Xenopus tropicalis: one gene and its partners. The protein of the gene in region 1 interacts with the protein of each later gene in a biochemical or structural test. Links are inferred from orthologs where the notes say so. Each region holds a gene or a part of one and is shown in the gene's direction. Other genes may lie near its edges.

Region 1 (3,500 bases):
GTGAAGGAAGCTCAGTTGGAAGCAGAAGTGAAATTACTTCGTAAGGAAAATGAAGCCCTTCGTAGGCACATTGCAGTTCTGCAGGCAGAAGTGTATGGGGCGCGACTGGCAGCCAAGTACCTAGATAAGGAGCTGGCTGGAAGGTGAGTGTCTGCTTTACTGTAATGATTATTTTACCTGGAAAAATAATATAACCTAACATAAATTAGTGTGTAGTCATGTCAAGGATTTCATTTTTCATCAGGGATATGTTGTCAAGACATTTTAGCTGATGAGTTCTCTATGTTTTTAAGACACAGTATCATACTAGTATAATTTAAATTTTAGGCTAAAAGAGACCCCCTAACGGTAAGGAGACTCCAGTAAACTACACATCCTGATGAATTGAAAATGTTTTTTATTACTACTTAACTACTACAGACTACAAAACTTCCAAAAATATAAATAGTATTTCACAACTGTTTAGCATGCAGAGCCCCAAAATATAAATAGTCCATACAAACTTTCAAGGTGGACGCTTTGGCACCTACAAATATAGCTTTTTTATTTTTAAGTGGTTAGCAGTACAAGACACTAAACAGTATGTATAACCCCCATAAACCATAAAAACCTTTCTTGTGTCAGTTACACATTCTGATAAGGTAAATGAGTCTTTTTTTATTTCAGAGTACCTTGTATTTTATAGTATCTCCCAAAATGAATGTTAAATATGCATGTGAGGTCAATTTTATACTCTGTATGCACAGGCTTACCCAACTATGCATATATATAGAGAAATCTAAAATTATATATACAAATTTTTTTAACTAACTTTTGTCCTTGGAGAAAAAAAAAAAAAAAAACATACTGTGCTTTGATATCTGCATCCCAAAAACTCTATTAGTAAGAAAAGACAGTTATATTGGAAAACTGATATCCTAAACAATGATAAACTGGTTTCTGGGCAGTACTTGCATACAGCTATTCTTGCCTAAACATAGTGGATTTCACCAGTCGGCCTTTTACACTCACATGAAACAAAGAGAGAAATCATGAATTCTTGGGCGAACCATCACTGTAGCGTTAACCAGTTGCTATGTTTACAGCGGTTGAGCCAGCCTACACTCTGTAGTGGACCAACCGCAACAAATGAAATACAGCCATTATTTGCACAGACAAAAGAGAAAAACATCAGTGCCCAAATTCAGCCTGTGTGAATCCCATTAAATACATTTTACAAAACTAATATCATTTGAGCACAATAATATCTGTCTACAGTATTATTACAGTATTGTTATAATACACCAGTGGCTTAAAAACACACCAGGGACATGACATTTTATTTTTTGCATTCTAATTCTAAAATGGATTTGTGTATTAACTTTTTATATTCACTTAAAAACGTAAACACTGACCCTCATGAGTAGTAAAAAAAAAGTACAAGTCCGCCAAGGTGAAGTATAACCCCTAGAAAGGAACAGGTGGAGCAGCAGTTATTTTCTAAACATTCCCTTTGTTTTCAGGTACAAGGCTATGCTTTAATGTTACTGTCAGAACATAAAAGTGGAAAGAGTGTTTGATAAAGGTATTTTATTTTGTTTCCAGAGTCCAGCAGATTCAGTTGCTTGGTAGAGACATGAAGGGCCCTGCTCACGACAAATTGTGGAATCAGCTTGAGGCTGAAATTCACTTGCATCGGCACAAGACTGTTATTCGAGCCTGTCGGGGGCGAAATGATCTGAAGCGTCCATTGCCGGTACCTCCAGGACACGTAAGTTCCAGTAGATACAGTGTGTGAGCAGTTAATCTGCCTTATTGCAGTGTTTGCACACCTGCTGTTGCACATAACATAGCATCCAGCAGGTGAGACCCAGTGCTATTGTTATCATGACAGACTCCTGCTAGAATTGTTACAAATATAGGATAAGTTCCAGGATGTGGTTGCAAACAGATTTACAATTCTGTTTTTTTATTTAACTCCTTTCTGCATTTAGGATAATCATTATATCTTTGTGTCTCAGCAGGACCCAGACTGCTTAAAAAAAAGCCAAGGAGTTGGCCCTATCAGAAAAGTAATTCTGGCTAAAGAAGATCACGAAGGGCTTGGCATATCAATCACGGTGATTAACAGCTCTTGTTTATGTTTATTAGTACTTTGTACATTCAAAGCCTGTTTATTGTGTGGAGTTATACATATATGATCCTACTAGCAGAACAGTGTTTGACAAGTGATGGGTACAATATCTGAGTAACAAAAGGCGAGTATGTGCTCACCACTATATAAAGTGTGGTTGTAATGAAGTTGTGACTACATATCATAGGCAAACTTCTGCTATATGTTCTTTGTAAATACACATGTATTTCATATGTATGTCACTTCAGGTGCACAGTAGGTGTGGAGCATGGATGTGGTGACACTTAGGGGCTGATTTACTAATCTCCGAATCCGAATGAGAAAAATTTGGATTGGAAAACGAACATTTTGCGACTTTTTCGTATTTTTTGCGATTTTTTCGTCGCCGTTACGACTTTCCCGTAAATTGTCGCGACTTTTTCATAACCGGTACGACTTGTGCGAATTGTTGCGACTTTTTCATAGCCATAACAAATTTCGTGGAATGTTGCAACTTTTTCATTGCCATTATGCCTTTGGAGAATTGTCGTGACTTTTTCATTGCCATTATGCCTTTGGAGAATTGTCACGACTTTTTCATTGCCATTACGACTTTCGCGAATTGTCGCAACTTTCGTATTGAGAGCTCGAAAAAGTCGCGACAATTTGCGAAAAAGTCGCAAAGTACCGATCATTACGAAAAAAACGCATTCAGACGCTTTTCGGACGTTCGTGGATTAGTAAATGTGCCCCTTAGTCTATTATGCATGTGTCACAAGGTTTGACCTCTTCTGTGCTGTGAAAAGTGCTGGAAATTAGGGATTTTTACATTTTCATTTAAGATGTTTGTGTTATATTTTAGGGCGGGAAAGAGCACGGTGTTCCAATACTTATCTCCGAAATCCACCCAGCACAGCCAGCAGACCGCTGTGGTGGACTGCATGTTGGGGATGCAATTTTGGCAGTTAACGGAATTAATTTAAGGGATGCCAAGCACAAAGAAGCTGTTACAATTCTCTCTCAGCAGGTAATAATTTAGATTCATCCTTTATCACTCCTTGGTGATTTCTAATATGCATGCATTTAAATTACACTTGGATGTATATTGACACTAGAGTTTACAACAGGATTAACTATCCTGTAGGTGTATATAATATAGTTACACAGGAATTAACCAAATAGTGCTTTCTTTATATGCTTGTTAGTACTGCCATTCTGATATGCACATACATTGCTGTAATTATGTGTTCATACATTTTTTCTAACCAGTGTTGTTTACCTTCTAGAGAGGGGAAATTGAGTTTGAGGTTGTGTATGTTGCCCCTGAAATAGATTCTGATGATGAAAATGTAGAGTATGAAGATGAGAGTGGACATCGTTATCGTTTGTATCTCGATGAATTAGAAGA
Region 2 (4,043 bases), on another chromosome or scaffold:
CCTGTGACACTCTACTCACTGTAACCCCCTGTGACACTCTACTCACTGTAACTCCCTGTGACACTCTACTCACTGTAACTCCCTATGACACGCTACTCACTGTAACTCCCCGTGACACGCTACTCACTGTAACTCCCCGTGACACGCTACTCACTGTAACTCCCCGTGGCACGCTACTCACTGTAACTCCCCGTGACACGCTACTCACTGTAACTCCCTGTGACACGCTACTCACTGTAACTCCCTGTGACACACTACTCACTGTAACTCCCTATGACACGCTACTCACTGTAACTCCCCGTGACGCGCTACTCACTGTAACTCCCTGTGACACGCTACTCACTGTAACTCCCCGTGACACGCTACTCACTGTAACTCCCTGTGACACGCTACTCACTGTAACTCCCCGTGACACACTACTCACTGTAACTCCCTGTGACACACTACTCACTGTAACTCCCTGTGACACACTACTCACTGTAACTCCCTGTGACACACTACTCACTGTAACTCCCTGTGACACACTACTCACTGTAACCCCCTGTGACACACTACTCACTGTAACCCCCTGTGACACACTACTCACTGTAACTCCCTGTGACACACTACTCACTGTAACCCCCTGTGACACACTACTCACTGTAACTCCCTGTGACACACTACTCACTGTAACCCCCTGTGACACACTACTCACTGTAACTCCCTGTGACACACTACTCACTGTAACCCCCTGTGACACACTACTCACTGTAACCCCCTGTGACACACTACTCACTGTAACCCCCTGTGACACACTACTCACTGTAACCCCCTGTGACACACTACTCACTGTAACTCCCTGTGACACACTACTCACTGTAACTCCCTGTGACACACTACTCACTGTAACTCCCTGTGACACACTACTCACTGTAACCCCCTGTGACACTCTACTCACTGTGACAGGGCTAGTGGTGACTAAAAAGTAACTTCTCTCACCTGTGTCTGTTCCTCCTCTCCCCCGATATCTCTGTGTATTTGGCCCTTTCCTTGTGCTGCGCAGCTAATCCTGATCCCGTAGAGCCCAAATCCAGCCCATACCTCTCCCCTGACTCCCTGCCCTTCTGACCCTGGCGCTATTACCAGGAAGGGAGCACTGAAACAGTAGTCACAAAATAGAAACAGCAGCTGTCCCAGCAATTCTTTTCTGTAACAGACCCCTCCCTTGCTCTTTTTTCATCTTTACTTCCCCCCATCATTTCATTCCCTTCCAGCGTTTCAGGGCTTGCGTTCCATCATACCCAGGCACCACACTGGTCCAGCTGCACAACCTGGCACTGATATCCAAGATGGCACCCATGGTCTCCCCGCCTCTGACACCCACAGGTAATGTAAATATGAACATACCCTCACACCAGCACTCACTCATTGCACCATACATACACTCACACCAGCACTCACTTATTGCACCATACATACACTCACACCAGCACTCACTTATTGCACCATACATACACTCACACAAGCACTCACTCATTGCACCATACATACACTCACACAAGCACTCACTCATTGCACCATACATACACTCACACCAGCACTCACTCATTGCACCATACATACACTCACACAAGCACTCACTCATTGCACCATACATACACTTACACCAGCACTCACTCATTGCACCATACATACCCTCACACAAGCACTCACTCATTGCACCATACATACACTCACACCTGCACTCACTCATTGCACCATACATACACTCACACAAGCACTCACTCATTGCACCATACATACACTCACACCTGCACTCACTCATTGCACCATACATACACTCACACCAGCACTCACTCATTGCACCATACATACACTTACACCAGCACACACACATTGCACCAAACATATACTCACACCAGCACTCACTAATTGCACCATACATACACTCACACAAGCACTCACTCATTGCACCATACATACACTTACACCAGCACTCACTAATTGCACCATACATACACTCACACCAGCACTCACTCATTGCACCATACATACACTCACACCAGCATTCACTCATTGCACCATACATACACTCACACCAGCACTCACTCATTGCACCATACATACACTCACACCAGCATTCACTCATTGCACCATACATACACTTACACCAGCACACACACATTGCACCAAACATATACTCACACCAGCACTCACTAATTGCACCATACATACACTCACACCAGCACTCACTCATTGCACCATACATACACTCACACCAGCACTCACTCATTGCACCATACATACACTCACACCAGCATTCACTCATTGCACCATACATACACTCACACCAGCACTCACTAATTGCACCATACATACACTCACACCAGCATTCACTCATTGCACCATACATACACTCACACCAGCACTCACTAATTGCACCATACATACACTCACACCAGCACTCACTCATTGCACCATACATACACTCACACCAGCACTCACTCATTGCACCATACATACAATCGCACCAGCACTCACTCATTGCACCATACATACCCTCACACAAGCACTCACTCATTGCACCATACATACACTCACACCAGCACTCACTCATTGCACCATACATACTCACACCTGCACTCACTCATTGCACCATACATACACTCACACCTGCACTCACTCATTGCACCATACATACACTCACACAAGCACTCACTCATTGCACCATACATACTCACACCTGCACTCACTCATTGCACCATACATACCCTCACACAAGCACTCACTCATTGCACCATACATACACTCACACCAGCACTCACTCATTGCACCATACATACACTCACACCAGCACTCACTCATTGCACCATACATACACTCACACCAGCACTCACTCGTTGCACCATACATACACTTACACCAGCACACACACATTGCACCAAACATATACTCACACCAGCACTCACTCATTGCACCATACATACACTCACACCAGCACTCACTCATTGCACCATACATACACTTACACCAGCACTCACTCATTGCACCATACATACCCTCACACCAGCACTCACTCATTGCACCATACATACACTCACACCAGCATTCACTCATTGCACCATACATACACTCACACCAGCACTCACTAATTGCACCATACATACACTCACACCAGCACTCACTCATTGCACCATACATACACTCACACCAGCACTCACTCATTGCACCATACATACAATCACACCAGCACTCACTCATTGCACCATACATACACTTACACCAGCACACACACATTGCACCAAACATATACTCACACCAGCACTCACTCATTGCACCATACATACACTCACACCAGCACTCACTCATTGCACCATACATACACTTACACCAGCACTCACTCATTGCACCATACATACCCTCAAACCAGCACTCACTCATTGCACCATACATACACTCACACCAGCATTCACTCATTGCACCATACATACACTCACACCAGCACTCACTCATTGCACCATACATACACTCACACCAGCACTCACTCATTGCACCATACATACACTCACACCAGCACTCACTCATTGCACCATACATACACTCACACCAGCACACACTCATTGCACCATACATACACTCACACTAGCACACACTCATTGCACCATACATACACTCACACCAGCACTCACTCATTGCACCTCACATACACTCACACCAGCACTCACTCATTGCACCATACATACACTCACACCAGCACTCACTCATTGCACCATACATACACTTACACCAGCACTCACTCATTGCACCTCACATACACTCACACCAGCACTCACTCATTGCACCATACATACACTTACACCAGCACACACTCATTGCACCTCACATACACTCACACCAGCACACACTCATTGCACCATACATACACTCACACCAGCACTCACTCATTGCAGCATACATACACTTACACCAGCACTCACTCATTGCACCATACATACACTTACACCAGCACTCACTCATTGCACCATACATACACTCACACCAGCACTCACTCATTGCACCATACA
Region 3 (3,975 bases), on another chromosome or scaffold:
CATTCCCAGCAGCCCTGAGAGCACAGTCATCCATGGTGCGGTGAGGGGGGGGGGGGGGGGGGGGTTGTAGTTCAGCAACACCAGTAGGACTACAGGTTCATATGTAACTATGTAACTTGACAGGTGCATTATTTGGGAGGTTAGAACAAAACTAACTAATAACTACTTTTTGGTTCTATGCTGAGCATTTGAGCCCCCCTCCCAGGGTAACTAAAGCCTTTTCAGAACCCCCACTCCAATATGACACCAATATATCCAATATATATCCAATGTATCCCATATGACACCTTCCTCTGTATAACATGAACACTCTGTATAACATTAACCCTCTCTATAACATGAACCCTCTGTATAACATTAACCCTCTCTATAACATGAACCCTCTCTATAACATGAACCCTCTCTATAACATGAACCCTCTCTATAACATTAACCCTCTCTATAACCTGAACCCTCTCTATAACATTAACCCTCTGTATAACATTAACCCTCTCTATAACATGAACCCTCTCTATAACATGAACCCTCTGTATAACATTAACCCTCTCTATAACATTAACCCTCTCTATAACATTAACCCTCTCTATAACATTAACCCTCTCTATAACATGAACCCTCTGTATAACATTAACCCTCTCTATAAAATGAACCCTCTGTATAACATTAACCCTCTCTATAACATTAACCCTCTCTATAACATCAACCCTCTCTATAACATGAACCCTCTGTATAACATGAACCCTCTGTATAACATCAACCCTCTCTATAACATGAACCCTCTGTATAACATGAACCCTCTGTATAACATTAACTCTCTCTATAACATCAACCCTCTCTATAACCTGAACCCTCTCTATAACCTGAACCCTCTCTATAACATTAACCCTCTGTATAACATTAACCCTCTCTATAACATGAACCCTCTGTATAACATGAACCCTCTCTATAACATTAACCCTCTCTATAACCTAACCCTCTGTATAACATGAACCCTCTCTATAACATTAACCCTCTCAAGAACTGGATCAATCAAACCCCATTGGATTCACAGAGCCAGACTGGATTAACCTGTGCCTGGCTGATCAGCAGGGAGGTGGAGAGGGGGATGTTCATAGAGAGCAGGGTGTGTGTGTATTTCTCCTGGTTCAGGAGGGAAGGACACCCTGAGCAGCAAGCTAATATATACATTAGCAACGGCATCTAATCTCCACACCTCAGGCTGCAGAAGCACAGACAGGAGTCGCAGCAGATGCACAGACAGGAGGAACAGAAGCACAGACATTAGAAATAAAAGGACAGACAGGAGGAACAGAAGCACAGACATTAGAAATAAAAGGACAGACAGGAGGAAAAGAAGGGCAGAAAGGAGGAATATAAGCAGCACTTTGTACTGCAGAGAGCTATGAGCTGCCTGTAGAACTGTACCTGCATGTCCGTCACAGAGGCGCTAATAGCACCTTTCCATTGCGCTGCCCACATGCCCTGTGACAGTGATCCTCACTCGCTTGCCCTCCCATTATAAGCGATGCGCTCACCTACCGCCATGGGATTTGTCTGTTCGGCAACCACAGATACGCAAGGAGCGTTGCGCTGCGTCTTGGCGCAGGAGAATTGGTGACTGGGCGCATCGGAGACACCGGGCTGGGAGGCAAGGCTGGGAGTGCCCATATCAGCCTGAGAAGTGGCCAGGTCTCGCCACAGATGGGGAGTCGCAGATAGACAGACGCAGCCAGAGGAAGGTAAGTTTGGCGAATTGGCGTTGGTTTTGCATTTCGGCACCGAGTTGGCATCAGTAGCCCGATCTGAAGTTCTAATTGCACCAATAATAGGAATAAGTGCTTTATTTTCTCTTAAAATTCCCTAAGGCTGAGAACGCCAAGTGTCGCCTGCGACCGCTAGAGCTGTAAGGGAGCTGGAGTCGCCGACTGCCCGACACCCTGCGGGGACTTGTGTATCCCCTGAACATGGTCATTGCCGCTGGCTGCTATAAAAATTGGTATACTAAGTTGGGAGACTAAGTTGCTATGAGAGGGACAAGTCGCACACACAGTCCAGCTAATCAGACACCTGTAGCTGTCGCAGCGATTGCCTTTCTGCATTGGAATTTTGTTTGTGTTTTGTTTGCAATTACGGTTTTTTTTGTCACCTTCACAACCGTTTGTAATATACTTCCCCTGTTATATTGTCGCACTTTCCCCAGTAGCATTCCTGCATCAGACGCTTGTTGCTGGAATTAACACTTTCATTCAAACACACTGATACCCACACACGTCTACACACCCACATATGCACACACAGACATATTCACACACACACACACACACACACAGACATATTCATACACACACATACAAATCTCTGTAGTATGAACACACACTCCCCTGCCTGCCATGCCACACACTCACACACACAGACATATTCATACACACACACACACAGACATATTCATACACACACACACACACACAGACATATTCATACACACACATACAAATCTCTGTAGAATGAACACACACTCCCCTGCCTGCCATGCCACACACTCACACACACAGACATATTCATACACTCACACACACAGACATATTCATACACACACACACACACAGACATATTCATACACACACATACAAATCTCTGTAGAATGAACACACACTCCCCTGCCTGCCATGCCACACACACAGACATATTCATACACACACACAGACATATTCCTACACACACATACAAATCTCTGTAGAATGAACACACACTCCCCTGCCTGCCATGCCACACACTCACACTCTGTTCATTATAACGCTCTCCCTGACCTACTACAACTCATTAGCCCAGACACTTGCCAAGCTTATTATGTCGCCCCATAATCTGTTCTAATGGTACCATTAGGGGGTTCTGTTATTGCCCAGTTAATGCCCTAGGTATCCAGGCATGGCTCTCCCTATGGAAGTCTGTGCCTCAGGGCCCTGCTGGCCAGGCAGTTCCCACTGTTCCTTCCAGACACTGATTATTATAGAAAATACCAAGCAGCCACCACTAGATCTGATTTTAATTAACCCCTTCCTATAGGCATAAATAACAGTGCGTCAGTCTTTATCTTCCTGCTGGCAGGCAGGGGGTTAAGTCATGAAAGAACATGATATATGACTTGTGAGGAGCAGTAGCACAGTGCATATATGTCTTGTCAAGATAAGGCCCCCCCCCCATGCCTGTCACCCAAGGGAACCAGAGCTAAATGTTCTATATTCCTTCCTTATCATACCCCGCACATACTGTTTGCTCTTGGGCTCTTTAGTCTGCAAATGGCAACATCTCAGCCTCTTTGCATTGTGTTTCCCTTCCCTTATGTGCTGCCAGCTGGATAGAGATTATACTCTGATCATCTGTATTCCACAATCAGTGCATATAGATATTAATGGTGCAGCCTGCACTGATTTCTAAGCAGCCCGGCCAACTTCTTTCCATAATAGAAAGCTCCTGTTTATATAGTTCCAATGTTTATAGCACCCAGAACACATAGACCAATTATCAATAATTTCTTTACTGAGAACTTTCAATTTGATATTTAATTTCATTTGCAGTTGGTCCTTATTTAATCTGTTTTGTATTTTTTAACTATGTTCTTCAGCTATCCAGTATGGCATTGCAGCTGTTCTCTGACTGCTTCTCTATTAGTGACCATAGCAACCAGTTAGTGGTATGAATGCCAGAGTGGAGGATGAGCATAGGAAGGCAGGATAAACCTATACAAAGGGCAATAGATACATTTACCCTTATATTCAGTCTTTCAGTTACTCAGATAATTATAGAAAAGCCCCCAACACTCTGAATTCAGAGAGGGGCATGTACGGGCGCAGCATTAGAACAATAATGGAGCAAGGTAAAAATTTTAAAAATTGTGCACTATTTTTGCACTTTGCCCCTAGCACAGCACTGTGGAAGATGTTATTGGGGGTACCCAGCACAGCAGGGGCACCAAGG
Region 4 (4,003 bases), on another chromosome or scaffold:
CTACTACCCCATGGGAGGGGCAAGGAGCCAGGAGTTGTGTGGAGTCCCTGACAAAGGTTACAGTGTAATATCAAGTCCCAGGGTGGGAGTTATAGTCCCACATCACCCCTGGGTGGAGGCATGCCATTAACAGTGAAGACTCCCTGTTACCCCCATAGTAAGTGGGGGCTCACGACTTCTGCGCCAGAAGTAAGCCAAGAGGGCACCAGTAGCAGCACTGCCAGCTAAAGTGGGCTACATATGATTTTGGAAGTCTTCCTTAGGACTCAACGGCACTCTACAGATCCAACCTGGCCAAAAGAAAGTCACGATACCAAAGCTTGAATGAATTCCGAAATGGTTGTAGTCTTTGTGAAAAATATGACTTTTTGTGGAAGTTAACTAAACCCACGAAAAAGTTGTGGAATTTTAACGAAATTATCGTGGGCATTACAAAAATTTTGATTTTTTTTTTTCTCAAAAAAAAAAAAAAAAAGCGTGGTTTAATGAACGGCCCCTAAGGGGCACATTTACTAAGCCACGAACGGGCCGAATGCGTCCAATTGCATTTTTTTCGTAATGATCGGTATTTTGCGATTTTTTCGGAAAAATGTCGCGACTTTTTCGTTACTAATACGATTTGTGCGAAAAAAACGCAAGTTTTTCGTAGCCATTCCGAAAGTTGCGCAAAATCTGGCCATTTTTCGTAGCGTTAAAAGTTGCGCAACTTTTCGCGCAAGCTTTAACGCTACGAAAAAATCGGGCGATTTTGCGCAACTTTCGGAATGGCTACGAAAAACTCGCGTTTTTTCGCGCAAATCGTATTGGTAACGAAAAAGTCGCGACAATTTCCGAAAAGTCGTGAAGACGCTGAAAAAATCGCAAAAAATACGAAAAAGTCGCAAAATGTTCGTTTTCAAGTCGGAATTTTTCCAATTCGGTTCAGATTCGTGTCTTAGTAAATGTACCCCTAAGTGTTGTACAAGATATAAAAGCGATTGTCTCACTCAGAACCGTACTATTCTTACGCCTCATGCCACAAGATGGCGCACTTAGCGAAACGTTGCCCATTCTTTCCCGCTTAAATCTTCGGAGTAGTAAAAGCAAAGATTCACCTGAGGGAATGCGGAATGGGTTAGTACCAGAAACACCGCCTTTTCTGAACAAGGGGCCAATTGACAGCTTAGAAACCGGGAGGAGCCAATAGTAGGCGGGCAGGGCGGCACGTGCCCTTCTGTCAGTGAGTTAGGAGGAGTCAAGCGGTCAGTCTGTCGCCGGACACCGAGTAGTGTAGACTAAGTGCGAGAGGTGCAGGCGTTATAGCGGAAAAAAAGGACCTGGACTACGCAGACCCTACGTATCATAAATAATTGTCGATAGTAACTTAAACAGTGACTGAAAGCTGGAATCTTCGTATTTAATTATTTTGCGTTTCAAGCCGTGCAGGGTGCGCAGCGGTGTCCCTGCTTTACGTTGTGTAGCACCTGAGAGAACGCGTTGAAGATGCCGCTGGCACAACTAGTGGATCTTTGGCCCGAGGTGGAGGTGGTTCATGAGGAGACGGAGGTGAGAACTGTCAGTTGCGGACGAGGTTTCGAAGCTGAAGCAGTCAGAAAATGTTGGAGGGGGGGAGGTAGCAGTGTTTTCTGATTACAACCAATCAAAGCTACTTACGGTTAGAATAGGTCTTTTAGAATAGCATGGGTTCGTGTGTATGTGTTGCTGCCGCATTCTCTTGCGTCTCTTCATAAGAGAAAGACTGTGCGTGTTACCTGATGGCCTTCAGCTCTTTATGGGCTGCCGATATTCGTCACAATTTCAGTCATGCACTTCTTTCAGAGGTGGTGTATATTTACTATTTCTGAGCCCCCCACCGCGGAATTCAATTAGAGGCTGCACATCTTATGTTTCCCTACTGCAGAACTTGTGGTCACAGGTCGCACATCCCTCCTGCTGTTGAAGCCGCTGATCAACAGCCATTGACTGATCTTGGTATATATTTAATGTGGAACTGTATTCTGTAGCAATCCACCTGTTGCTGAATCTGCAGTTCCAGCCGTCCCCCACAGTTCGACTGTAGTTAGCAAGCAGCTGTAGAACGCAGGTTGATGTCCTCCTATACATTGACATTTGTGTTCATTAATTATGTTTTGAGAGATTGAGAGCTTTTATTTCAATAACTATATTGCAATAAATCCCTTTTTAATACAATATTCATTTTGTAAGATCTTGTGTGCCTTAGAACACAGTGTGACTTGAACATGAACTAAATTTCCTTAATGCTTCAAAAAAAAAAAAAAAAAAAAAAAAAAGATCCCAACTGAATTAAAGATTAGCACATCTAAAATATTTGGAATGCAGGTTCGGGTATTGAACCTGTTATCAAGAATGCTGGGGACCTGGGGCATTCCGGATAAGGGATCTTTCTGTAATTTGGATCTCCATACCTTAAGTCTACTAAAGGTGGCCATACACGAGCAGATCCGCTCGCTTGGCGATGTCGCCAAGCGAGCGGATCTTCCCCCAATATCCCCACCTACGGGTGGGCGATATCGGGGAGCCTTTAGGTAAAAAAAAAAATAATCCGATCGTTTGGCCCTGGGGCCAAACGATCGGATTATGTGGGCGGCAATGGGGCAGTCGGATCGGGGACCGCATCAACGAGCCGATGTGGTCCCCGATCCGACCGGATTTTCTAACCTGCCCGATCGAGATCTGGCCAATTTCAGGCCAGATATCGGTCGGCCAGGCTGCTCGGCTCTCCCCATACACGGGCCGATTAGCTGCCGAATCGGTCCAAGGGACCGATATCGGCAGCTATAGTTGGCCCGTGTATGGGGACCTTAAGAAATAATTTAAACGTCATTAAAACCCAATAGGATTGTTTTGCCTCCAGTAAGTATTACCGTAATTATATCTTAGTTGAGATCAAGTACAAGGTACTGTTTTATAATTACAGAGAAAAAGGAAATTGTTTTTAAAAATTAGAATTATTTGCTTATAATGGAGTCTATGGGAGATGTCCTTTCCGTAATTTGGAACTTTCTGGATAACGGGTTTCCGGAAAAGGGATCCTACACCTTTATATACTATTTCAATAGTTGAGCTTGTTCAGTTAAGAAAGTACTTAAATGTAGAAGCACTATCTAGGCAACTCGCTAGCCATTCCCTTTTATAAATATATATTTGGTGTATATGCTGAAGTGGATTCTTTCCACTAGACCACAATAATTAAAACACCCCACATTATATTACACTTTCTTTATTAAAGCAAAGGGCAGAGAGTAAATTTTAACATTTCAGGGTGCTGTGTGTTGATTTTGCTGGTGCAGAACTAGAAGGTATTGCATTGCTAACGGCAGTGGTGCACAAAGGTTTACACTATACACTGGTTAAATGAAATCAAGGGGGAGGATTAGCTAAACATGGAAAAAAAGATATCGCTCCGCAGGCGCACCCAGTTCAGCATGATAAAGAAAGTATGTCTCCTAGCTATAAAAAGAACAAACTATGAACCACGCACACATTACAAAAAAGCAAATTGCCATTAATACCTATCTGCTTTAATAGCTTTGACTGTCAGAGAAAATTAATGCATCTCAAATACTGTTTGTGTTTGTGGTGTTTTGTGTGCAATCAGCAATTAGATTTCAACAGTCCACTACTGTTAGAAAGAGACATGATTGGTTGCAGTTGGCAACTGCACTTTAGTTCTTATGTTTGAGGCACTGCGTGTATAAACATTTCCTGATTACTGACAGTCAAAATTAAAACACTTCTTCCTTCAGTTAGGTCACCTGAAGGGGAAAAAGGTTTACCTCATATTATACTTCTGCATAATTTCTAAGGGTGTCAAAATTAAGAGCAATACTAAAAACCAGGTTTACTTCATTATGGATGTATATACGTAGCATAGCACCCTGTTCACCAACTTTGTTGTTCCATGATTTAAGGTGGCCATACACGTGGCGATCTGACGATGTTTCGTACGACCATCGGTCGCACGAAACATCGTAAGATCCGC

Evidence for each region.
Region 2: the proteins of gopc (region 1) and crhr1.2 form a complex in vitro, tested with the Homo sapiens proteins (2 studies listed by BioGRID and IntAct, with this or other methods). The link is inferred for Xenopus tropicalis from reciprocal best matches to the Homo sapiens genes GOPC and CRHR1.
Region 3: the proteins of gopc (region 1) and sstr5 form a complex in vitro, tested with the Homo sapiens proteins (2 studies listed by BioGRID and IntAct, with this or other methods). The link is inferred for Xenopus tropicalis from reciprocal best matches to the Homo sapiens genes GOPC and SSTR5.
Region 4: the proteins of gopc (region 1) and rps6ka1 interact in a test that uses a peptide from one of them, tested with the Homo sapiens proteins (2 studies listed by BioGRID and IntAct, with this or other methods). The link is inferred for Xenopus tropicalis from reciprocal best matches to the Homo sapiens genes GOPC and RPS6KA1.

What each region holds. Positions count from the first base shown.
Region 1 is NC_030681.2:74,174,893-74,178,392, forward strand, and holds part of gopc (Golgi-associated PDZ and coiled-coil motif-containing protein), read left to right. Parts: coding exon 1-143; intron 144-1,584; coding exon 1,585-1,750; intron 1,751-2,000; coding exon 2,001-2,099; intron 2,100-2,954; coding exon 2,955-3,119; intron 3,120-3,378; coding exon 3,379-3,500.
Region 2 is NC_030686.2:16,307,654-16,311,696, forward strand, and holds the start of crhr1.2 (corticotropin-releasing factor receptor 1), read left to right. Parts: upstream 1-1,243; 5' UTR 1,244-1,365; intron 1,366-4,043.
Region 3 is NC_030685.2:17,505,564-17,509,538, forward strand, and holds the start of sstr5 (somatostatin receptor type 5), read left to right. Parts: upstream 1-1,175; 5' UTR 1,176-1,739; intron 1,740-3,975.
Region 4 is NC_030678.2:77,585,384-77,589,386, forward strand, and holds the start of rps6ka1 (ribosomal protein S6 kinase alpha-1), read left to right. Parts: upstream 1-1,203; 5' UTR 1,204-1,482; coding exon of another isoform or gene 1,483-1,531; coding exon 1,532-1,545; intron 1,546-4,003. UniProt on the Homo sapiens protein: Serine/threonine-protein kinase that acts downstream of ERK (MAPK1/ERK2 and MAPK3/ERK1) signaling and mediates mitogenic and stress-induced activation of the transcription factors CREB1, ETV1/ER81 and NR4A1/NUR77, regulates translation through RPS6 and EIF4B phosphorylation, and mediates cellular proliferation, survival, and differentiation by modulating mTOR signaling and repressing pro-apoptotic function of BAD and DAPK1.